Drosophila melanogaster: one gene and its partners. The protein of the gene in region 2 interacts with the protein of the main gene of each other region in a pairwise test. Each region holds a gene or a part of one and is shown on either strand. Other genes may lie near its edges.

The links.
Region 1: the proteins of Pdk (region 2) and CG10943 interact in a two-hybrid assay, tested with the Drosophila melanogaster proteins (one large-scale study listed by BioGRID).
Region 3: the proteins of Pdk (region 2) and Gbs-70E interact in a two-hybrid assay, tested with the Drosophila melanogaster proteins (one large-scale study listed by BioGRID).

The regions. Positions count from the first base shown.
Region 1 is NT_037436.4:12,858,238-12,866,206, forward strand, and holds CG10943 (uncharacterized protein), read right to left. Parts: upstream 4,684-7,969; 5' UTR 4,575-4,683; intron 4,521-4,574; 5' UTR 4,482-4,520; coding exon 3,555-4,481; 3' UTR 3,480-3,554; downstream 1-3,479. Other genes in the region: CG32107 (uncharacterized protein), read right to left, coding at 1-56, 121-2,492, 2,561-3,047.
Region 2 is NT_033778.4:9,421,877-9,430,920, reverse strand, and holds the start of Pdk (pyruvate dehydrogenase kinase), read right to left. Parts: upstream 4,483-9,044; 5' UTR 3,672-4,482; coding exon 3,548-3,671; intron 1-3,547. Other genes in the region: prel (preli-like), read right to left, coding at 5,279-5,674, 6,006-6,320; CG13955 (uncharacterized protein), read left to right, coding at 7,299-7,594, 7,653-7,955, 8,043-8,265, 8,345-8,503. UniProt on the Drosophila melanogaster protein: Inhibits the mitochondrial pyruvate dehydrogenase complex by phosphorylation of the E1 alpha subunit, thus contributing to the regulation of glucose metabolism.
Region 3 is NT_037436.4:14,544,997-14,554,123, reverse strand, and holds the start of Gbs-70E (glycogen binding subunit 70E), read left to right. Parts: upstream 1-3,148; 5' UTR 3,149-3,587; intron 3,588-3,964; 5' UTR 3,965-4,034; coding exon 4,035-4,126; intron 4,127-6,641; coding exon 6,642-7,007; intron 7,008-9,127.

The DNA.
Region 1 (7,969 bases), on a different chromosome or scaffold from region 2:
TGATAGCTACCATCCTGTCGCCTCAGTTCCATAAGCTCATTATTATAACAGGCCAACTAAAAATAAAAAGATAAAAATAATATGAAAATATATTTGCAAATACGGCAACTAAAATCTTACATGATTGAATCTTTTGAAGTCTGACCAAACTCCACGCAATTTGAAAGGCGGGTGCTCGTAGGGATTTCGAAACAGCTTAATATGATTTAGTATTCCATTGATATAATCCTTTCTGAGGAAATCGTAGAACCGATAAAGAGATATTGATTTAATATTTTTGCACTTTATTAGAAAGGAATAGAGGAAGTTGCTTTCATTTTCCGCTGCGTAATGGGTCGATGTAATTTCCAAGACTTCGAGGTCTTCCAATTGAATTAGCATAAAGATGAACTGTTTCTTGGCCAAACCGAGTCGTAATCGTTTTAGCCAACTAAGTTTTGTTACTTCAACAAGCTCTAAAAATTCCAGATTCGAATTATCCAGAATTAAGGATTGAAGATTACCTAAAACTTTCAGTTCCTTAAGAAGCTGCCACAGGGATATACCAAGAGGATTATCGATTTGCAAGTCTGTCAGATTTCTGAGCTGAGATATATACTCGATATCTTTTATATGGCTAAAAACGCATTCGAAGGATTGCAAGTCCTTGAACAGCGACACCAACCTAAAGTCCTGAGATGCAAATGCAAGTGTTCTTACCTTTTGAGGATACTGCAAGGCTATAGTGTTCAATAAGTTCACCGCATCTAGTGTATTGTAATTAAAATAAATTTTTAATTCCTTTAAGTTCGGCAAATTGGCCAAGAGTGCCAAGTTCGTGGGAGTCAATGTGCCATACGATTGCGTTAAAAAATTAAACTGAGCATCCAAGGGATCTTCATCTGTCGCAGTTATCAATGTATGAATGTCAGTTTGATGAGTTTGGTTCTCATATGTGAATGAAACCGGGGCCAGCAGACACTTTTGACAATAGTTTACGAATGCCTGATTTTTTGTATCTTTTAGTTGCTGTTCCCAATATTTTACTTCGGGCAGACCGAGCTGAAGGCTTTCCAAGGATCTTATGCCAGCAAGGTGGCCAACTTCTTGTTTAGTAAGTTTTGCATTCTGAATAACGAGTCTTTTGAGTACTTGAGGCTGCTTGGATTCCAGGACAGCGAACAACTCTATCAGAGATCCCTGCGGATGAACGATAAGTGTAAGCTCCTCCAATTGCTCCAAGTTGCCAAGTTCATTTATATATTTTGAGCAGAAGAAACCACTTTTAAGTATCCTCAAGCTTTGTATCTTTACCACCTCTTCGAGTTCCTCTGGGTCAAGGAATGCAGTTTCTAGTTGCTGCAGTGTGTGTTTATCCAAGGCGGCCAAAGCCCTAAAGAGCTCCACCAATGATCCGCTCATAAGTTTTCCCTTTATCTCCAGACGTTTCAAATTTCTTAAATTGGCAAGAGGAGCAAGGATACTCCCATAACTCAGGATGCACTGTACAAAGAATTCCAGTACGAGCGTCACAGATTCGTGGCTATGAACGAAACGAATATTGCAAAATTCGGTTTTAATTTTATCCACTCGATTTGCGGTATTTGTAATCTCATTAAGTTGCTGGAGTTTAACCGCGATTATTTGCTCTATTTGAACAAATGAACATCGAATGGTGGTAAGCGTGGGTATGGAAGCCAGTACGGCAAGTTCTGCATCGGAAATCGATACCTTTTTATTGAGCACAATTCCGGTGATAGAGACCGAGAATTGTTCTGATGAATTGTGCATTGTAGCTGGTAAAATCTTGGCATCATACCAGCCTATGCAATAGAGACGATGTGCATGCAAATAATCTTCATCGAAGGCCAATTGCAATAGATTTGGATCTTTGGTCTGCCAATATTGATAATATGCACGCACGACGGCTAACGGTCTATGTGCCCTATAAGTCACTTTGAGAAAATCCTCCTCCTTTTCATTGTAATACGGATTGTCTGGATTATATTGCATGGGGTGACCCAGAATGTAGATATGAGTAAGTTTTCCGCTTAACGGCAAGTCCGAATAGATCGATTTATCCCGCAAACAGCACTTAATTGAAACCACTAAGCGAATGGATGCCAAGGCGATGGCCTCTGCATTGCTGACATATGTTTCCGGGATACATATGCTCTGGATGTGCTGGTGTTCTTGGAAGCGATTAAAAAGCTTCACAAGCGATCCCTCGAGATGCTCGCCACACAGAATTAATGACTTAAGTTGCGGCAAATTGGCCAGGGCTACGTACTCGGATGCATCTACCTCTTTCATCACAAAGCTCAGATATTCCAGTTGATTGCAATGAGGTACTATATCCGATAATCTGCCAAATATTTCGGAATTCCTTAGAATGAGTCTTCGTAGGTTTGGATTCAGTTTACACAGCTCGACCAGGATACTGGAATGCATTCGGACATTCAGCTCTAGTTTTTCTAGATGAGTGATCTGCGGCACGATCTCAAGGCTGAATCCTAAAAGCATTGATTTATTGATTAGTTATTCTTTTTTTTAAATTTAAATTTAAAAAATTTTTATCTACCATTTATGTAAACAGAGAGCTCCCTCAGTTTTGGCTTGACATGAAGCGATTTTATGAGGTCCTCAAATCTTTCCAAGTAATCACTCCAGTAACGTGTTGGTTCGTAAATTACCTTTAATGACTCCAGTTGTTCGTTATCCATAATGTGATTTTTGAAATTCATCCAGAACATTTTCTTTTCACTGTTCGACAATCCATAAATGTGCGAATGAAGATTTGAGAAATTAATCTCTACGCATATGTACGTATTGAGGAATGTGTTTTCAATACACAGCTCCTTATAAAGATTGAGACTCCATTTTTTGAACGTTCTGTTGAGATGATCACAGCAAATAGCAAAGTTTATAAGATCACTGTACTTTAAAAATATATCATTGGTTTGCTTGAATGCGCAGTTTTTGTGAATTTGACGAAATATTTCATATAAACAGTAAGGATTTAAGTTAAAAATCGTTGTTTTTTCTTCTAAACCAAAATATTCCATCATCGTTTCAAATTTGGCGCTAGCCATTCCCTCGAACAGCTAATTCTCACTGACTAACCGCAAACGAAAAAAGGTTTATTTTGGTTATTCGGTTATCTTGAATGATAAGCTGTCAAATGTAATAAAAAGCAAATTCTCTGGAACACCTTGTCTTTTGTATCAAAGGCTAGATAATACAGCTCACATTTTTTTATTGTTACTATTACCATTATCTAATTGTAAGATAACCATTTATTGATGAAGTATTTGCACTACAGATTAGCAATATAAAAATAGGGGACTTCCCGAAAAAATCAACGACCGTTGAATTTTTTATAGTAAATTGAATAATGGGGAAATATTTAAACGTATTTGGGAATAGCGGTTTAAAGGACCTTTTTTCACGAGGGTGGCAGCACCGTCGTCATTGAAATTCCCGCATGATGGCGTCCCCTTGCTGACATAAAGCTGAAATGTACAACATTCTTCTTTGCGATATAAAAGTATATATGTTTTATTAAATAAATTTGTTTACAAAGCGTTGGAAATTTGTTGACCCTCTGATGGTATAAGTTTATGGGTTTCTTTCACTCTCTCCTGATTAGATTGCAGTTTCATTATGGTAGCAGCTTGATCGTTTAATAGCTCATCCTTTTCCCGCGTTTTACAAGTTTCCAAATTTAGACCCAATTCCAAATATGTGATTTGGTCATCTTTTTCTTTAATCTGTGCCTTATGATTTGCTATAACTTTTGAGTTTTCACCATTTATTTTATCTTTCTCCTTTATTTGAGCCTTGAGTGAAGTTATTATCCCTTTATTTTTTTCCAGTGTTTCGCTTTTTTGGCCTATCTGATTTTTGAGGGTTGCTATAAGAGATTTATATTCTTTCTCTTCAGAAATTATCCTACACATTTTAACGCTTAGAGATTGGATCATATGTTCGTTTTCAATATTTTTACTATCGCTTTCTTTCAAACGAGCTTCGAGTGTTGCTATAAGATCTTGTTTGTCCTTTAGCTTTACATCATTGTCGCCTATCTGAGACTTTAAGGACTTAATAAGTTGTGAGTTTTCTATTTCCGTTTTAGCCTTCTCTTTAATCTGCGCTTCGAGGGAAGAAATAAGTAACTTTTTTTCCTTTTCGCTTTCTTTAAAAAAAAAAATTGTTGATCTTAACTTTGATTTATTTTTGGTTGTCTCAAGATCTTGGCTAGAGTTTAACTTCGCTTTTCTTAAGGTTGACAATTCCTCCTCTAGTTTTTCAATTATGCTTGCCTGAGCATCAAATCTATCCTTATAATCTGATTTATAAAGGTTGTTAGACATTTTTAAGGCCTCAATTATCTCGTTTTTGTCCTTAATTTTATCGTCAAATATGGCCAACTTTTCGTTGGCAATTGCCAATTTAAATTCCATGTCTCTTAGCTTATTTTCAAGTACCATTTTTAAGTTCATTTTCGGTTCATCGAAATCGTTGCAGTCACAATAATTCGCCTAAAAAGATAAATGCTAAAATTAATGTTCTTCAAAAAGAAATACTATTTATACCTTCGAAAATGATTCTGTGTCATCTGAACTTAAATGCAATATAGCGCTTTTACTTCTTGAATTCATAGCGATAGAAAATATGTAGACCGCATTGGTTGGTAGGAAAAAGCGAACTGAAAGGTTCATTTAGGTTTTTTTTCTATAATAATCGAATATCTCCTGGTGTTACTCATTGCTTTACAATAATCTAATCAGGAGTTTGATTAAATATTGCACACTTGATAAGGTATAGCCTCAAAACCTCGGAATTGATTGAGTATTATTTTTTTTGCCCTGCAATCTCACAGCTTTTCCACTTTCCCAATTTTATCATATAAATGTAAATGATTTTTTATAAGAATTTTGGATTTTCATTAATTACGAATCCAGATCGTGGGTAACATGTAAAATGAATACAAATTGAATCAATTAGACGGCATCCGCTTGGAAATGAAAACCAAAAGATAAAGTCTGGGAAAACGGGGGCGATTGCTTCGGCCAAATACGAATTAATTTATTCTTTTCCATGTTCTTTTCGGCAGTTGGCCGTTGTAAAATCATTTTCCATTTCGCTGGCGTCAGAAAATGGCAGGAAAACAGGTTAAGTCGAGAGGACAAGCAGGTTCAACAACAACAACAACAACATCAACAAGGTAGGCAATTAAATTTATTTTATTTCTCCTTCCCGTTTCGTTTTTAAGTTTCTTAAGCAAGTGCTGGAAATCGTAGACAACACTTTCGTTTCAGGACGAAGCGGAAACGATAGGCAAACTTTGCTGCACCAGGATACGCAGCCCCTCAATGGCCCCGCCCACTTCCTCTTCCACTCACTCTTCGAATCCGTTGCTTTACATAGATAGCGGAAATGCTTGGCCCTGTTTTCGGGCCCTCTCGATTGCATATGCAGCTACTTTTATCGATTGGCTGAAGTTTGCACTCCTTGCCTATATACATATATTTAGGCCTCGTCCTGCCAGCTTTTGGTTCCACCTCCAACGCAATGTCATTGTCCCTGGTCGACTATTAACCCCTTCTGCAGCAATGACTATGGGGCAAGTACCCTTGGTAATATTAAATAGTCCATATCCGGGGCCAATGAACCGCAGTGAAGTGATTAGGCCCTTGAAGTTATCATTCAAAAGTATTGAACTATCTAGAACCAAAACAGGACTTAGTTTTATTTTTACCTTCTTACCTTCCAATAATACTAATTCTTCGATTATTAGTTTGATAATGTATATTGGCTCGTTTAATTGGCCATTCTAATATATACTTTTATTTAATTATTATAAAATATTTAGGAATATATTTTAGAAATATTCAATAAAAGAACATTTCTTCATTGAATGATTGTATTTCTTCTAGTGTTATAGTTTTAAAGAAACAATGTTATTTCTGTTTATTAGATATTTATTATAATATTCTTAATATTGATACAACTTGCTTTACATTTTCGCAATGTCTTTAAATTGAATTGCAAATAAAAAGTAGTGTTTGCGACTTCAGTTCACCCTTGAGAACTTTCCCTTTAGAACAACTATTTGCCGACTTCTAACGACAAGTTAGTCTCCTTGGTAGTCGAATTTTGCACCACATTCAGTATTTTCAGGCGTGAGGGTTGGGGTGCTTCCGCCACATAAATTTCCATCGAATTGGGGGTCGAAAGGATGTCGAAGGGGTGAAGAGGGGATGCGGGGCTGGCTGGTATCCGGCGGCAGAACGACGAAGCACGATTCGCTGGGGCAACAAAAACAAGAGTGGAGCCAAGCAGAAGAGCAGCAGCAAACTACTTCTAATAACGACAATCAACGCTCTTCGGGTTGTTTGGGTGCTGTGTAATTACATGACAGCAACAGCAACAGACAACAACAACAGCAACAACAACGGACAGCAACAACAACAGCAACAACAACAACAACAAAACAACAACAACTGCAATTGCAGCAACATTACGAATTACGATAATAATTTCCATTTCTAATTTCCTTGCCACGCAAAAGGCCTTTGCACTTGCCGAGGCTGCCAAGCTGCCGAGCTGAACTGCAATCAACCACCCACCCAACATAGAACATCCTCCGACATCCAGAAAGTGACAGCACCACCCACCACCCAACACCACCCACTGCCCTTTTTCCGGCAACAACAGGCTAAACAGACGGCCAAAAACACTTGGATAAAAAATACGATAAAAGGATATTAAGGGAAGATGAAAGATTCTTTGAATTAATTTTGTAATATTACTTCGATAATTTGATATATTTAATGAAAGCAAGCCAAAGAAATTCACTTTCTTAAGAAAGTTATATGAAGTTATATAATAATATATATGTACATAAAACATCTATGAAATTTAATATCAATGCAATGTAAAGTATAAATTAACATACTTTGTAGGTTACATAAAATAAAATTAACTTTATTATTCATATTAAATAATGTATTAAGTCTAACGATACCTACTTTGACGTATTAATAATAATAATAATAATAAATAAAATTCTCGTTTTGTTTCAGTGTACGCAATTGGCGAACGCTGGTTGAGGTGCTGGCCGTCGAGCCAGACGTTGGCATAATTTCGATGCAGAAATCTAACAGAATGCAAATGCAATCATTGACTTTTTAGCTTATAACGAAATAAGCGTCGTGTTTATTGGTTGGCTGAACGAGCACCAGCTTGGAATCTACCCCCCCCCCCACCACCACCGCCACTACACCGACCCCTCGCCATTATCCATCGCCTGGAAAAGTGAGGAAAATAGGAGAACATTGCCGGAACTGTGGGGAGTGCACTTATAAATTCAAAGCCTCGGCGGGGCTACTAAGTGGGTGGTGGTAACAACGGGTGGTTCCCGAGCAGCCGCAACTAAGAATTTCACACAATCTAAGCCTAAGTTGGCCAAAGTGCACAGACCAGATGTAGAGAAATTTGTTGTTGTTCCTAAACCATAAGTACTGAGTTACATAGAAGCTATTTGCAAGATACTAAATTTATATTATTATAGATTAAATGCTAAAGCTCTAGAATTAAACACAAACGGTACTTGAATCTTCAGAAGAAAAGTTATTTAAGAGAGAAGTAGGAGTAAGCTTCTGATTTCGCTTATATATAAATAAAAACTAAAAAATAAATACACAAATAAATAAAATAGTAAATCTTAAACTGGCGCTTAACTTAAATCGCTGTGCTCTTCTTAAATTCCGTGAATTATCTGGTCTAAATCTGCTGATACGCATAAGCCAAGTATATCTGGGCCCACACTTTGGCGCTATCTGCTCGACTTAAATGGGCTGAGCTTTTCACAGTGGCAGTGGAAAGGATATCGAGGATATGCGTTGTCGGTTGTCATCGGGCAGGTGGAAGTTGTATCCCTTTTTTCGTCTCACTTTTTCCAGCCCAGCAACCGCAGGAGCCGCAG
Region 2 (9,044 bases):
GCTCGAAAGGGGGAGGGGGGTGCGGCAATCGCCCCAACACACACGCGCTTCGTTCTGCCCGCTCCGCCCCCCAAACGCTGGGGCGGCGCAGGTGACCTCAAAACAGAGCTTTTATCGCTTTGTTTTTGTTTACTTGTTTGCCATTTTGGAACCGCTCTACGCCCTATCTCTCTCGCTCAGTGTATTCACTTGTTTTGACTGTAGTGTCGGGTGGTAAACAGAGCAAAGAAACCTCCAGACTCGATCGGATCGTCAGTCATGTAGAAGCGTCTGGCACTCCACAATATGTATTTAGACTTTGATGCATTGCTCTTGGCTGATAATGATAAGGCGCACCCTCGCTTTCATCGGCGATAAATTCGCAGTGGCGTTAAGTGTCCTAATCATAAGTGCCTTTTATGCACTTAGATAATTGCCCGCTATAAAAAAAGGAAGTTAGTTTAAGAGGATTAAAGATTAGAAGTGTGCTAAGTAAGCACTCTTCATATTTCATTTTGATTTTGTGCCATTCAGTTATTATTTTATTAATAATCAATAGCATTGAATAGTTAATAACTACGTGCTGTGTATTAGCCAAGCTATTAACAAATTTGTGTGCCCCAACAGGTTTCGAAAAAAAAAAAAAAAACGATGATCTAAAGTATTCAATGGGTGTTATGTAACAAGAACTTAGCTGCTAGTAGGCGAAAAACTGTTGCGTGTTCTAGCAGTGAAATTGAAAACTGGCCACCGCACGAATTCATTACCGGAGCTCAGAATCGACAATGAGCTGCGGTTTCAATTCCATTCCCATTATCAGTGTGAGCCACTCAATTGGCGATACAGGCTAATTGGGTCGTTAATGTTGCATTCAATAATTTACAACGCATTTGGCACGCAATCAGCTGAGCAAAGGCGCAAAGAAATCCAATTTCTGAAAACGACTCAATCGTCCACTCAGTGACCCCCTCATGCAATTACATTAGAATGGGTGGAATATCACATATGCATCTATCTTTAGACCAACTGACGTCACACAGCTGGCCCCTCCTCCAAACCATGACCATCCCCTTTTTTGTAAAACAGCTGTTCGGTCGATTCGCGGAGCACAGCAATTTGACTCTTGAGCTGCATTAGCCCACCCCACCCATTGGCCCCCAAATGCGAGGAAGAATTTGTGTGAAAGTCTTTCGAATACTTTCGTATGTATATTTGACTCACATTCGCCCTGTGACAGAAATACAAAAATACGGCGCGTGTGACTACGACTACGTCTTTATTATTATTATCGCCGGGGTGCTCACTCTTCTTCTGGCCATTCTGTTTCTGTTTTTATTTTGACCAAGTGTTGACGTGCGCGTTTCTGCCTTTTTTTCCGCAAGCAGTTCCAAAGTTCAGGCCCGAATTGTGGGCGAAATGAGGTGACAGCATCCTGGACTTTGCCCGAAATGGTCACGGTGGTCTGATCCATCGAAATGCATCCATTATACAATATACTTTTGAATTGTCTGACGCTGTGTTTTCAATTTTCCTAACCCCGCATTGCCACAGATATAATTGTGGCTCTTTGTCGCCCGGAGAATTGGCACATGATCAACCATGATGAGGTTCCAAATTGGACACCCTATATATGCCATAAGTATTATATATTTTCTATTGATATAAATTCTTGGCCTTCGGATATTGTGAATTTCGCATAAACAATATAGCCGAAAAATATTAAAGACTAGTCTGTATAAAAAACGAGGCTCGTCACTGAGGCGCGAATTTTAGAACCCTCTTTCCAGTTCTTACACCCCACTCACTCAGTCCACGAAGCGCTAATCGATGGTTAACCTGAATTATCATAAACTCGGGTGCATTATAATAACAATGTATGCGCATATATAACACCGAACCAATAACAAGCCATATTCTATAGATATAAGCATAATTACTCCAAGTTTATGGACCCCCACAAACGGCAGAAAAACACAATTAAGTGCCGGGTACAGTTGGGTACAAAACAAGCGCACAAAGCAGCCTTATCTACAGACCGACATCAAAGTTCAAGTATAGGCAGGTATATATTAGCTATTTATTTATACCCCTTCACCGAGGGGTGCTGGCCTATTGGATGGCCATAAATGCTTGTAAACTAATTTAGCCCATTTTGTAGCCCATACCAGACTGACTAAAAAAAAAAAACAAAACAGGAAAAAGCTCAGCACAAGTGGTCTTAAAGGGATAGAAAACACGCGCAAGCAAAGCCTGTTGTTTTGGTCTAAATTTAGATGATAATAGCTCAGCCTCCGGAGGCCAACCTTTTTCACATTTTCCTCCTCTTCCAGCCGAGCTACTTGGCCTGGCTTTTATTTCTGCTCACGTCGCATGCCAGTTTTTCAACGAGAATGCCCTAGAAGTTAGCACTCGAGTCTGCTGGTTGCACAGCAAAAAATTGATTTTCGACTAGAGCAGGTCTGAAATGAAAAGGTTATGTGGAAACAGTATCTAAAGGCATCTGCTGCCGTTTACTTTTATCAAGATATAATACAACTTTTAGAATATACACTGCAAACACAGTTTGACTTCTCTGGGGACAGAAGCCACTCGAATTGGAGAGTTGCGTGTTCTTTTATTGGGGCAGGTTGAAGCCGTGGATTTTGGAGGGTGGTCTGTAGGGGGTGTTTGGTTGACATTGAAACGTCATTGAAGGCCACGTGCCGGCTATTGGCGCTCAATGAAGTGTGGGCGGAAAAAAGGCGCCTTGCTCGCGCCCATTCTCGTGTTTCATTTTCATTGACGAAACTTGTTTATGAATTCTAAAACACGGCCTTCTCATAAACAAGTTGAGCTATTCTGACTTCCGTTTTTGCAACAGGCGGTTGGCTGGGAAGCGGATTGAAATGGAAATAGATGGCAAGGGGAGGAGGGGTTGGGTCGAGGAAAAGTCAAAGCTAAGCTGAATTGAACTGAGCATTCAATTGTTTATACTGCCTGGTTGTGTCTGCCTCTCTGTCTAGCGCACAGTCGACAAAATAATAGATGTAGATGGAAATGCTTAATTGACAATTCAATGGAACGAAATTGACTATTAGATAACGGGATATTTGCGCAGTTTATTCTAAACTATAAACGAAACTTTAGACAACATGAAAATGTTGCTCTCTACATAAAAGGTCTGCCTATTATAGCTTTTCTATGTCATCTCGTTATGCAACACAGATGACGAATAATAGAAAACAAAGGGAAGTAAAAAGTGAGTTAATATTTCCCAAAACATATATAACATAACATACACTTTAGAGAAATATATTAAAAATCTATCGTAAACAATTAAAATTTTAATCCATTTTCGAAGCGAACAACTCAAGTGTTTTAATCGCTTTTGGAGGCAAATCAAAACAAAGTGAGTGTCAAACTTTCCATAGAAACACGTTCACTAGGCAATCTCTATAATATCAATCCGATCCTCACCCAAATCAACATGTACGATTACTCAATAGCACTTAGATAAGATCGTTGAAATATATATGTTATAGATGTATGGAACACCTTGGGTTCAAGAAACTGAGGCCCAGTTACTCACCAAAGTCCATGAACTGCTTTATCGAGAGGGGCGAGGGGTTGAAGCCCGAGTAAAAGTCGAGCATTTTGGCCAAACTCGCCATCGACGAGGAGGCGGCTGAGAATCGGACTGGAAACAGGCGCATGTTGGCTATATTTTTCTGGTTCGCGGGGGATTTGGGTGCTGATTACGTTTGCCGGTTGCTTTCGCTGTGTCTTTATCTTCAACAACTTTGTTTGCCACTTTTAGACCAGCTTTATATTATTGTTGAATTGCGGTGAGAGGGAAGAGGAAGATGAAGCGGCTGCCGGTGTCCTTTCGCTCACCTTCGCTTTTATCGCGCTCTCGCTACCCTTCTCACTCTCTTCGCAGGACGTTGACCGCGCTCTCGCTTTCTTCGAAGCAAGGAGGCGGGGCGGAGGTGTTCTGGTTGGCGGGAGGTGTGCGACGAAGAGCGGCAACAACAGCTGGCAACGTCTTGAAAAACTCGAAAACTCTGGCAGTGTGCGCTCAATAAATCAATGGAGCGTTCTGATTAGTTTTAACCATACAAAAGCGGTACCAAAAATATATATTTTATTCTATATATCTTTTTTGTGTTAGCTCTGCTCCACGTTGTTGTTGTTTTTGTGTTGAAAGGCGGGGGCGGCGGGGCGCAAATTCTTTCTCTTCTCCTGGTGCGCCATAAACGCAGCCGATTTGTACGGTATTTGCTTCGCTGTGTCTTTTGTGCACTTTTGTCTCGCGATTTCAGCTGCAGTTCTTCGTGCGATTAACTATACTCGCAGTTATTTGTTTTTGCGCGACTTTGACGCGAACGGTTGGGAATTCGGATTAAGAATGCGACTCCAGGTGGCTCTGGATTCTCCAATGTTCGAAAGAACGCCGATTTTACCTAAAAGCTGCGAGCGCTTTTGCGTGGGAGAGCCGCAGTGTTGGAAACCAACGGAATTGCGTCACGGATCCGGTAGCACCGGGCCAGCTGACTTCTGTATAAAATATGGCAGCCTTGGTTATAACGAATATTTGCAGAGAAATAATTTAAAACCAATTGAAAAATATATACAAATGAATCAAATAGTACGCATTAAAAACCGATTAATATTAACAATTCATTATAAACAAGCTTTACTAAAAAATTAACCGCCCATAACAATAAAATAAAATAATAAAAAAATGAATAGATATTATAAATATTACATAAATTGTATAATATAAATATTATAAATTCTGTAAACATAAATTCTTTTATGACTAGACCCAGTTCAAAGAAACAGCCGTACATTTCTAACAGACTAAGTTTATTTTAATAACTACACTTTTAACCACTACAAGTGTTGGTTTTCTTATATTTTGATAAAAATATACAACATATTACATAGCAATACCAATTTTGACACGGCTTTTCATTTCCTGCTCTTGACCTAACAGAATGATACATAATAATGTAGTGCAAATAAGTAACGATAAATAATAGAATTTGGTAGCATGCAGGAAATGTGTTCAGCAAATTGTGTCTCCGTTCAGATCAGCCGTTTGATTCGCGCACACACGGAATGAAATGCAGCAAAGTATGTAGTTGGATTTGCTTTGGAATAAATGTTTAAAAACACCCGGCGACACGACTCCTCCGCTCGTCATTCTAATTCCGTCCTGGTCAAATCCACAAACTCCTTAACTCCCGGAGCCGAAAGCATTAAAATCTTCGGTCCCATTCGACATCTATTCCAAAAAGTACAGACTAGAAGTTCCTCAGTTCTTGACAGAAAACAGTTGCGCAATCTTGGAGGCATGACTCTTGAAGAACTCGTAGCCCACTTTTGCGGCGCTCTTGAGAGCTCCTTGGTTGTTGAGACTGCCGTTTGTTGTGGATACGGTGATGGTCGTTGCAGGAAGTTCTCCAGCTGGCGAAGTCGTCGTCACCGCGTGCTGGTGATGTCCTCCACCAACCAAACTGTCCGGAAACATGCGCCGCAGCACGTAGTTGAATCCATTGGAGGCCTTGTTGCCATTGGCCTTAAACCGTTCGATGCCGAAGGCGCGAATGGCCCGCGAGAATCCGAACACCTGCGAACTAATGTATGCTCTTCGCACCGCCAGAGTACTACCATCCTTCTGCTCGCTGTAGACGACAATTTCATCGACTTTCTAAAAGGAAAAAACAATGATCATTAATTAGGATTAAATTAAACTTGAAAAGATTAAGTAACATATTTCACATATTCACTAAAAGGGTGCAGTAAAATAAATCGAACAATAATCTTAACCGGATCCCGATGTTCTGTATGCGTTTCATGGGTTAAATATAACAAACAATGCCACAGCATTGACCATCGATCTGTTAGGTAACACTTATGCTTTTGTATTATGCCGGTATTTCGGTCATGCCCAACAGCTAGTGGCTGAATTCTTCTAGACATTTCTTTAAATTGATATGTGACCTATTTAAAGCAATCGTAGTAGGTGTGCGATCACTTGCCATTATCTTGGTCATTCCCAGGTTCCTGGTGAAAGTGGTGAATGTCTTTTTAACCGGGTCCAGCACGGAGTCCTCAACAATCTTGACCGGCACATTGTTGTAGAAGCGAGCTCCCCACTTCGGCACCGGATTCGTCTTGGAGAGCAGCCGGCGCGAGAAGAGCTTGCCATCGCGCACCTCCCGCTGAATAGTGTCCTCGGTGAGGACGTGCGTGCTTGAGGGATTCGGGTAGCGGTTCCAGTAGGCGACCACCACGTTCATCCAGCTGTAATCGAAGACCGTCTCCGTGCGGCAGGTGGATGCTGCCACGACCATGTTGAAGGTGGACCAATGAACTCGCCGATGTGTTCGAAAGTGAAAGCCGCCGTGTCCCTGATCTGAAAAATAAACCGATAATCATCAATAGCAATCGCATGTTTCCGGCTAAAAATAGATCGCCGAATCGATGGACGTACCTTTGCGAGGGGGTCCAAGAACGGGGGTCTCTTACGGTTTTAGAGCTCCAGAGTGCAGTGTGATTGGCACCAATTAGCTGGCACACGTTGATTCAGCTAGCAGCTTGTTGTTGCCCCGACTTTGGGCGCCTACTAAGAATTTAGTTGTGTAACTGCGTCACAAACTCCGGCACAGGGTGCTTCGGGTTCGTTACCTTCAATTTCTGGCAATTTGCTGGCGATATCCCTCGATTCCTGCGTTGCCTCGACCTTCAGTGCCCCCTTCTCCTGTCTGTACACGGTTTCATTGCTTGCTTTCCAAGGGTTTGCTGCCAATTTGGATACAATTTACGCCTGTTCAAAGGCCATCCGGAAACATCTGGTCGCAAAGTTGCCAGATGGTGCGTGTGCCAATAATACCACAATTTGCATTTTCCCAACTATTTAGTATTTTACGTTTGGTTTTGCGCCAAAACGTTTTCTTTTAAATTTCACTTAAAAAATGTTTTTAAGCTTTCAATATTAATTGGCAAATATGACAAATGTTCTTGAAATAACTTAAATCAAAGGTTTGCCGGTATTTTACTACTACATTTACTATGTTAAACTAATAAATTATGAATTTATTGGATGTTGGGTCATATCTAGTTTTAATTAAATATTTAATTATTTAAATTTCGAAAAATAAAATCTATTATTTGAGAAATAGTTATTGCAAATATTTTATTGCTTAAAAATTTATAAAATTAACTCACAAATAGTTGTCATGGGAATTTTTGAATTGTGCGGTGCTTAGATACCAGAAAACAATCAAAAGTTCACATAATTAAGTACAATTAGAATAAAGAAGCTCAAAAAAATGGATGTTGTGGAATTCCTCACACGAACCGATAGGCGCAATCTAAAATCTCAAATAAGTTTCCAGGTGGCGCAAAAGATGCACGAATGGCACGCGGATTTGGACAACCGTCGTTGGAACCTCTGTCTTCTTCTCCAAAAGGAAGCCTTGGAGGCGGATGAGCAGATTGCAGAGATGCTGCAGGCGCAGGCGGATGAAGCGGATCGAAAGCGACACGAATGGATCGAAATGGAGCGATTGAAGCGGGAGGAGGCCGAAATGGAGCTGGTCAAAGTAAAGAAGCAGCAAAGGGAGATGTAGGTTTTGAGTGTAGAATTTTAAGTCCTTTTCCATCTGAAATCACCTCACTTTCAGTGAGAACTCCGAGGCCCATCGTCACATGCTAACCAAGGAGATCCTGCTGGAGTCCAAGCAAGCCCAACTCCATCAAATCGAGGAGAAAAAGGCGCTCAAACGCCGCCAGGCCTGTGTGGAGATTCTTTGGCAGCGCGTCTGGCAGAGATTGGACGAAAGTAAGGCCCAGCAGGAGCAGCATGAGCTGAAACTGCGCAACTTGATTGAGAACAGGTGCCAAGCCCACAATCTAGACACTGATCGGGAGCAGAAGGCCCAGTTCGCCAAGGAGGTGTTGGCAGACCAACGGGAATGTTCCCAGGCGTGAGTACCAGGTTCCCTAGAGATTCAGTTAGTTAATATACTAATCGAATGGATTATGTTGGTAATCCAATCAACTACCTTTCATAGCCTGGAACTGGCTGCCGAAATGGATGTGCTCAAGAAACAAGAAGATCTGAAGAAGCTCAAGGATAAACGGCGCCAGCAGCTCATTGACTTGCAGGATCAGATCAAATGGAATCTTACCATCAGCGCTCGGCAAGCACAGGCCAATATCCGTGAGGATGTGGGCTACAACATCCTCGAAGACCGCCAGATTTACGAGGAGCTCATGGAGAAGCGTTGCGCCAGGGTGAGTTTGCATGCCCGCCTCCAACTGCCTTTCCTCTTAGTCACAATGCCAACAACCCAACCCCTTCTCATTGCTCCAGATTCACAATCGCGATTGGCACCAGCAGTACATGACGCACACGGCTGCCGAGCGAGCTGCTCGCAGGGAAGAGGATCTGGCACGGGATCGGAAATACCTGGGCACTGGGTGTGTGCTTGGCCAGCAGCCGAAGCAACCGTACGGCAAGGAAGTGCGCTAGTACCAGTGGTGGACACATCGTCATCGCCATTGCCATCGATCGATGGGCACGCACTCATGTCACGCCTCACATTTGAATACCATATTGCAATTATATTTACGGCTGATATAAATCAAGCGATGGCGGCGATAAGGAAAAGCGTATCATGCACGGGCGGCATAAAACCAGTGATAATGCCCACCATCAACGTCACCAGGGAAGCTGACCAGGCTAACCCCAACTACCAACTTTGCCAGCCGCCGTCGGGCTAATATGCAAATGCGAAATGCCAGTACAGTCAAGATATTGTAATGCGAACCAACCTCTCCGAAATAAAAAATATATAAGCACCATATTAATCAATCTTCTTAAGATAAGTAAAACAATATTTTTCCACAATAAAATAAATGAAGCTACTGTTTGCTGTATCACCAATACATAATCTAATTTAACAAGCTATAACCAAACCAATAATTACTCAAAGTAGATTTTTTATTCCCATATAAAATGTAGTTTTGACAAATCCAAAATGGCTTTTAAGCTGAATCAATCAAAAATATAG
Region 3 (9,127 bases), on a different chromosome or scaffold from region 2:
TCTGCATTGATAAGGCGAAAGAATCGTACGTGAGTCGCGCGCCTTCTTCAATCTAAATTTAAATCACCGCCAGAGGGATTTTGAAACTATGCGGTATACTATATAATATGCTATCAGGTGGCCTACACAAAAACTGATAACCAAGCGCCAATGGCTAATAATGTGGTTCGACTGATATGGATTGTCGGCCAGTTTCATCAGCCGTTTTGCACGTTTTTTAGCGGTGGGCCCACGACGCGTGTCTCTATGTTTAATTAATAATTATGCTTTGAGTCAGTCTGAGTTGCCTGACTTAATTTTTTTTATTGCTGTGCGAGTTGTCTAGACATTGGGTACCTTTCCACTTTGGGCGTGTGAATCTGGCGAGCTACTTGTATGTTTTCTTTTGGATCAGGCTCACGCAGCTGGTGAATGATTTGGCATGCTGGAAATAAACAAAATTTCCGTTTTTCTATTGAAGCGTTTTAAAAAATTGAATTTTGAAAATATGAAAACATAACGTGTGGAAATTTTTTATAGTCCCATAGAATAAATAGCCCCATAGAAGGGCAAGTTAATTATTGAATACATCAAATAATGATAATGATTTTAATAATAGTTAAAATCATGTTAACCATATAATTAACAAGATTCAGCAACATGGGGACACACCTTAATCGAGTGAAAAATGGAAAGTCGCTCGCATAAATTGAAAAATGTCCCCAACGACATCCGTTGAAACCGAGGAAACTATAAGTACAACCGCATCCCCAAGATACATGCATGAGAAAATATGAAAATCTGCACAGAAATAGACAAGACATATTTATGTAAAAAGCGTGTGCCACTAAATTTGCCAGCGGGTGCAAACAAAGAAGGGGGTAAAATGCAATTTCAAGTGCAACCGAAGAGAGAAATCTTGCTGAATAATAGCATATAAGAGCAAAAAAAGAGAGTTGTGTAATTAGGAAGCCTGAATGCACCCTGAAAAAAGGTATAGGGCATTCCTGACGACAAGGAAGTAGAAAATGGGTGCCAATGTAAGTGAAACCTATCTATTCAATGGTTTAATCACCATCACGATATATCTTAATTTTTCACAAATCTAAATGAAAAGCTCTTCATTGAGATAAAATTCCCAGTCTCCATAACGTACATATACTACGCCCCTGTGCCATCTCATCTGGTCTATGCCGATAAAAATGACCGGCAACTGCAACGAGGCACTCAAGTAACCACTTCTGTATGCACGCAGGGATCTCTCGAAACCGGCTTTCAACTAGGCAAGCAACTTAGCCGGCCGGCTCTTTTGCCCCTAACCCCTTTCGAAACCCCTTTGTCCGCAGAAACCCCCTTCATCAGCGAGGTTCAATGGGATGCTGCGTTGGCAGTCGAAGAAGAAATGAAGAAAGTGCGCATTCAAAGTACGTTTTTGTTTAACAGTCGTTGAGGCTCTTGAGAGACAAAAAGCGTGATCTCTTCAGAGAGTTGCATTATCATGGGCTTCGAGATGTGATTTCAAATCAGGCATTACGAAAACATTTCCCTGATCAAAAAAGAAAAAGACTCGAATGTCCATGCCTATGCACCGAACCGCCATGAGTGAATGTACACCGAGCACGCACACCAAAAATAGAGCATAGATAAAACTCAAATACATATACAGTCTCTATATAAAGGAGGCCCAACCACAATTTCGAGTTCCGAATAGTCGAGCCTGAGACTGCATTTTTGAGCAGACTTGGTTGCATTCAGCGGTTTCCGCTTGTCTGGGACAGTTTTGATGTGGGTACGACAGATATCATGTGGGTCGAAACTGGCCTGAACTCTACATGCATAGATTGGAAAAGAAAAAGCGACGAGGAAAATCAATTTCAATGCTTCATTAGTTGAGTATTTGAAATTTTGAGCCTCTTACGCAGGTTTAGGTGTTGATTTCTATTTTAATAATGGCCTTACGCGCGAGTTTTATGGGATTGATGAGGAATTTTAAGCTATAATCACTAATGACTTGGACTATTTTTAATACGAATGCATTTATAATCAGCTGATAACTTATCAAAGCAGATAAAGTACTTTTTGAGACATAGACTTAGGTTTTATAGTATTTATTATTTATAAAAAATTTCAATTAATATAGTTGCATATTTTCCTTTTTTATTACCAAAATCGATTAAATTCGAAGAGCTTTTTATAAGTTCAGCAATGAAAATAGACTAAAAGTGTCTCATTCACGAGACCCTAATGGAAGGCCTAATTGATTTACATATGTCAGGGGAGCACCCTCACATAAAAGAAATGCGTGGGCAGACACATAAAACCAAAACCCACTCACAAATGAGTCGAGTGGTGAATAATGTCCCATATTCAATTGAGTGCGGAAGAGGCCCTTATAAATCTGTGTGTGAAATATCTTTTATAATAAAAAACAATTTAACTAATAATACCAATTCTAGTTCGTAAGGCTATAAATATTGAACTGAACAGACCAGAGGCTATAACCTATCGACTTCGATAAGATAAATATTTAAAAAGCTGAGACGGAAAAAGTGTTTGCCAAACTCCTTGAAATTCACTTGAGCGCCACGAGGCTCAGTGGGAAATTTGATTTTGGGAGATGGGATGCTTCCCGTGCATGTGATCATGTCTCGAGGGGCTGACACCCGTTTTGACTTTTGTCACCGCCAGTGGCGCCAAAACTAATCAAAGCAACTAGGACCGACGCTAAATCGAAACCACAACTACAATCACTGCGGAATACCAAAATGCAATCAAAATATGCAAGCCACGTCGATCAGGAGAGAGAGAGAGAGTGAGAGAGAGACCGGGGCTATTCTAGAAACCTAACGCGAGTTCAGAACGCTGAATTATGTATACCCTTTAAAGTACTAACAGAGCAGAAAACTTAACTGTTTTATGTGGTCGTTCATTAGTAGTAAAAATGGGATGATTTTATTTTATTCTGCTTTACTGTTATTTCTGTTTTCTGTTTTTATATACTGGCCTCTTGAATATATAACATTCTGATAACATTACAAACGCTCCACTAACATGTCTATATGTCTTGGAAGGGAATTCAAACAACCAATCTCTCTCTTTTTCTTTTTCTCTCTCTCTCTTTTTCTGTCGCCCCGATCAAGTCTTAACGGCAAGTTGCAGCAACAAACATTTTCATTCGTTTTCGCATCGTCGAAGCGTACGGTTCATAGGAGGAACGGAACGAAGCGGGGAACGCGACGGAAACTAGTTGCTGTTTTTTTGTCCGTGTTAAATAATTGACACAAGAAAATTTAGCTACACTTAAGCAAAGTCCGCGAAAAATCTATTAAAAATCGTTCGTCGTTTTGTGTGTGTGACCACGAAAAAAGTGCCCCGATCGGAGGATTTTAATAAATTCAATTAAGGTTCCGTCCCAACGATCGTTTTTCATTGTCTGACGCTCACGCGTGATGTACAAATGAAAAAGTAAAAATTTAAATAAGATCAAAGAAAGAAAGATCACAGTAAAATTTAAAGTGGATTGACTGCACAAGAAAAAGAAAAGTTCCTTACCTCCTAGCCAGAAGTCAAAAGTGAAGCGGAAAACAGAGTGGAGATAACAATTAACGGTTAGTTGTAAAGCTAAAACTACACAATAAACATATCATGAAAAACTTTATAAAACATAAGAAGGGGGGCATTTTATTATTTTGGGTATCAGCATTTACATCACCTTGTTTCGAATCAAACTGATTTTAACATGCATTTGGACCAAACTAACAACGTTTCGAATGTTATCTCTTATGGAAATGGTATTGCTATATTATACCATCATTAATTCCGATTCCACCTGAGATTAGCAATTAATATGAAATTTCATAAACATATATTATATATTCGGATCATGCATTCTATTTACACATTACTTTCCAATTAAACGTTCATTTATTGCCGCGCTTCGATTAGCAACAAAAACAAATCGTTAATTTTCTATATTTTTCCACAGGGGCTTCCATACCAAAGTTCCTTGTTTGTAGAGATCATTGTAATCAGCGCAGATCGAAGCCATATATAAAATGATTTCGCACAGTCCGCCCATATTCAGTCACAGTCCACCCGTTAGTTTTCTGGCGGACTTCATGAGCGGACATCCCCGTCAATCGTTGAAGTAAGTTTACAAAAGTATATAACTCATAAATAAATATAGCCAGCAATTGGACTAATTTAACACAGAATTGCTCTAAGTGAATCCACGAGTTTCGGCAGCCAATCAAAACAAATTAAATAGCCAAACATCATTGAAAGAGTACCAATTCTCAGGTTTTTTCATGTCGAAAGAAAATATTTTTTTAACTTTCTTATCGATTGATAAGGAACTAGAAGCATTTTCTGATGCATCATCTTTTATGAATTTAACAAGTGGTGTACGTGTTAATAAGAGAAACGATATAAATGTCTGATAACCTGAAAAACCATGTGATAGTAAATGAATTAAACTGAGAGATAAAAAATACATAACAGATAAAAATGATTAATACCCTTTTGCATTAGGCGTTCTCTCTGGCGAATATTTAAACAATAATTTTAAACATTCAAATTTAAAACAAATTTCAAAATACCCAAACATAACCCACATTAACAAAATAAACAGACCGGAATGCCGTAATTCCATTTAATGAATATAAGAACTCAGTTGTTTACACAATCCAGAAAAGGAATATTATCGATCTCTCGAGGGCTGCCCATATTGATTCACATGAAACACCTGTTTCAAGTGTCGTCTATGGAAATTTTAACACCTGATCAAAGGCAGGAAACATGTCTTACCCAATACATAGTATTAAAACCTGAGAACTATTCGAAAACACAATGAATGCAGGTACTAAAAATATTCGTGCTAAGGCTCGTTTTTGGTTGACAACAACAGATTGGCAAAATATGAAAAGCAAGCATTCAAGATCAAGGCAAGACAGAATACTGAACCAAAACAAACATTTCGCCGATTCTGAGGTGATCTTTCGCTGGTGGAGCCAACTGAGATTTGAAGATTCGTTCACGAGTCGTGGGGGTGACGCCAAAAATTTGCTTGGCGACAATTTGCGCGTGGCGCTTGACGCAACTTTTTTTCTCAGGGGCACACGAGCAAGCCGAAAATTTGACAAATTGGTAAAGGGAAGAAGGGTAATATCTATATATTATATTTATACAGAGGCGAGAGCAATTGATTGAATTAAAGCAATTTGCCGTGCTTCATTTGCTGCACGCGCTGCATTTTCATCATATTTGTTGAGAGTATTTTATTTTTGGGAATGATAAATATACAATACCGAAAATTCGTATAACTTATATTCGTATATATGAGGACTTCAGCTAAAAATAAATCTATATCTAGAGTATGGCCAAGCAAAACAAACGCTACAAGAACCGGTAAAAAACTAAATAATCAGTTAAGATTAAAGAGGTTCAGTAGATAAAACTGTGGGAGGTAATACATGCGAAAGCCCTACTGCGATCCCTACAACTATGAACATTTCTTATCGGGGCACGTGAGCGGCATGCCTTCAAACAAACCGAGTACTCCAACCAACTCAAGTAACTCAGCTGCTAATGCGTCAACTCACTTGAAATTTCACAGCGTGATTTTACAACAGTTTACCCCACCCAATACCTAGAACTACCCACGTAACTGGGCGGGTCGTCATCGAAAATGATTGAATTCTTTTGGTTGCCAACTCAAGCACTAAATATGCTGATATTGTCTCCAGACAGCGCCAATTAGCCAAAAAAAGTTGATGATAACAGCAGAGCAGACGGAAATGTTCCCATAGCCAGGCCCACGCCGAAAAAGACGTATCAGCATGCCGTCAACATATGTTTAGCATGCAAAAGTCCACGCGAACCCCATTGAACGATCCTTATCAACCATTGACTTTTAGTTTTATGAATGTCTAGCCGAAAAATTATGATAACTACAAATGGGATGTGAACTGTGCCAAATGAGTAAGACCAGCGAGTCTCTCCGACTATACAATTTTAGAAATGACTCACTGAAGAACCCAAACAAATATGCTTCATATTCATACTATACATTTCCCACCCACGGCAAACCCGAATTAAGTGAGGAGGTCGCGCGCAACTCCTCTTATCAGCGATGTTTCTTTATAGACAATATACACGTATCAGTAGGACTACACAAGTACAAGTACAAATACAAGTAGTACATGGGCCTCCGAACAATGAAGGCAGGCATTGAGGCAGTAAAAATTAAAGCCACCACTCTTATCAGGACTGATAAAAGGCAGCTTAATGCGTAGATGCTTGAAATAAAAGACTGATCTTGGGAATTTCTTTTCTGCTTTCCAAACGAAAAAAGAATCACAAAAAATGGTCAAAACAATTGAAAGATGGCTACCATCTGCTGATGTTTAAATATAGAAATTATATTTTCAATTAGTGGTGTTAGAGATATATATTTTAACTGATTGTGATATATTCAACCTTCGATATTCAACCTTTTGATTTTTTGAACGAATTCAACACTCATTTAAAAGGACAGAATAGTAACGAAATTAAGTTATGAAATAAATATTAAATAAATTTATTTTAAGAAACATTTTTATAGTTATTAATTTAAGTTTTGAAATACAAAAATAAACCAATTAAACTTGCATACCTTGTTTCAGCTACAATGACGAGCCCAACAGAGCGTCGCGCTACTGCCGGCCCCAAGTGATAACGCTGGCCTCCAAAGCCATGGTCAACAACGCCTCGGCGGCGGTCCAGGGTCAGGGTCCCAGTCAGCAGAAGGCGGGTGCCACGCCCCTGGGCGTGGGCAGTCGTTCCGGACGGAGTTACCTGGAGCGAATGGCCTCGGCGCCGCTACTCACCAATCAGCCCAAATCCTGTCTCAGCCGCAAATCCTGCCTGCACAAATCCCAGAACACTACAGCCAGTTCCGCAGATCTCTCGCCGACGGACACCGATGTCGCGGACAGTGCCAGTCATAGCTGTATCTGCAGCAAGGATAGTGACAGCAACGGCGAAGTGAGGTGAGTGTGCGGGCGATAAGATTACGTAATGTAGGTAACTCGATACAGCGGCGCCGAAACGATCAAGAAGGCTGTAAATGCCGGCGGACTCAGTCACTTTGACGTCAGGCCTTCAAAGATTATGGCGCCGCACTTATTAAACCACCAACTGAACTAGATGGGAACTTAGTGGTGTGAGAGCCTGGGTAATTGTGGTCAGAATTGGGTGTATCAACCTATAACAGATTCATTAAATAGTAAGATGTCAATTGAGGGGAAATCTTAAGGAAAGTCCGAGAAAGTAACACAAGAAGCTGTAGATGGTTTTCATAGCGCATCTTAACTATGTAGACTGTGGTCAAAAAGAAATCGAAAGCTTATGATTCAAACTTAAATCTTTGAATTTTAATATGGGGAGGATAGGATTTTGGTTCTAAAAATTGGAACGTGAAAAGATCATTTCTTATAAAACTGCGAAAATACCACTTCCGCCATAATATTTTATAAACAAAGATTAATCGTTTATAAGACATTTGCAATAGTTCTAGTAAAAGGAATAAGAAAATCTGTTGGCAGTCGAACAACTTTCCCACAGACGTCATAGCCGAGCACATGTCATTTATTAAATAAGCTGAGAAAGCCAATTGCAGACGGCCGCCAGGCTAAACAAATGCAAAAAGATCATGAAATATACTTGAAAATATATTTTATATATTTTTAAGAGCATGCAATTTCACAAAAACAAAATATAAATTATCTAAATGACTGTAGAAATAAGCCAAAATAAAAACACGCCACTGCATCGCGAGTCGAGAATCTGTATCTCGTATATCTGAGATAAAAAATCTCACATTTTAAGACTCAAATGGGAATAGACTGGTATTTAGTATAGACCCCAACAGCGAGGCGCCATTATTTTCGTTTTCCATTTCCATTTATTCGCTATATATAGGGAAGATACATTATCGATTCATGTGCAGGCCATGAAAATATTTGGGTTATCGATGTCTCGCAGATATTTTGTAAAATTGTATACATATGTATATTTCGCTTTCAACGAGCCCTAGAAATAATTTCCTTTTTGCACTTGAATCTGACATTTTGAGAAATGCCTAAAAATACATATGCCACGAGATAGAGAAAATAATTTATACGTTCATTTGCGTCAAATGCGAACACTATTTCTATTTGGGCTGCGTCTCTAGACAAGAGATCAGGCTTAAAGCTACGCAGCTACTCAAACGAATGCAATTAACCATAATATTATCAATGTAAACCAGACGTGTGCTTGTTGCTGTTGGAGATTTTGTGTACACTTTGCGGTTGCGTATTTTGTATGCCTCGTTTTATCAGTTACGAAATCCACTGGGAAAAAATTAATTTACCAATTCAAATCTTCAGAGTAAATTATAATTCATTTAAGTTAACACAAGAACGTAAAGCAATGCAATAGAAAAATTATTAAGAATTATATTTATTGGAGGCTTGATTTAAGAATTGAAGACCTTATTCATCACCTTCCAAAGCATATCGCATCTGCTCGTCACCCATTTGGCCCCACATTTTACAATGAGTTTTGACAGCCAATGAAAGATCTTTCTTTTGTCTTAATTAGCCTCCCCAAAAATCATCAAGATCAACCACAAAACGAGGCAGACGGTTCACGTCAAGGCCGAAGAATTATTAGCATAGAAGCGTGATCAAGCGAAAGGCGTCATCTCATAAAAGACACAATTTTTTCGGGTGTAATGTAACTAAAAATATTTCAACATTACAAGCCTCGGAATACGAATGCACACAAACGTAAGGTTATATATAGAGATGGGGAGATATGTCTGATGTTCATGCAAAGATCACGTGAATCGATCGGAAAAGTGAGTCTGGGGCACATGGGTCTGCTGTAAAAATGTTGGCGCACCTTTAGCTGAAAAATGTGAAAGAATTTCGTACATTTACAACAATTTTATTTCATTCGTAATTAAATTTATATTTATTGGTAGCGATCGAGATAATTAAGAAAAACCAAATCCACGACAGAATTTTCCGAGTTAAAACTATTTTCAGTCTCTTACTATTGGACTTTGCTTAAAATTTCAGAAAAATATAAACGATAGGTATATTTGGCGAAACTGAAATTCTTA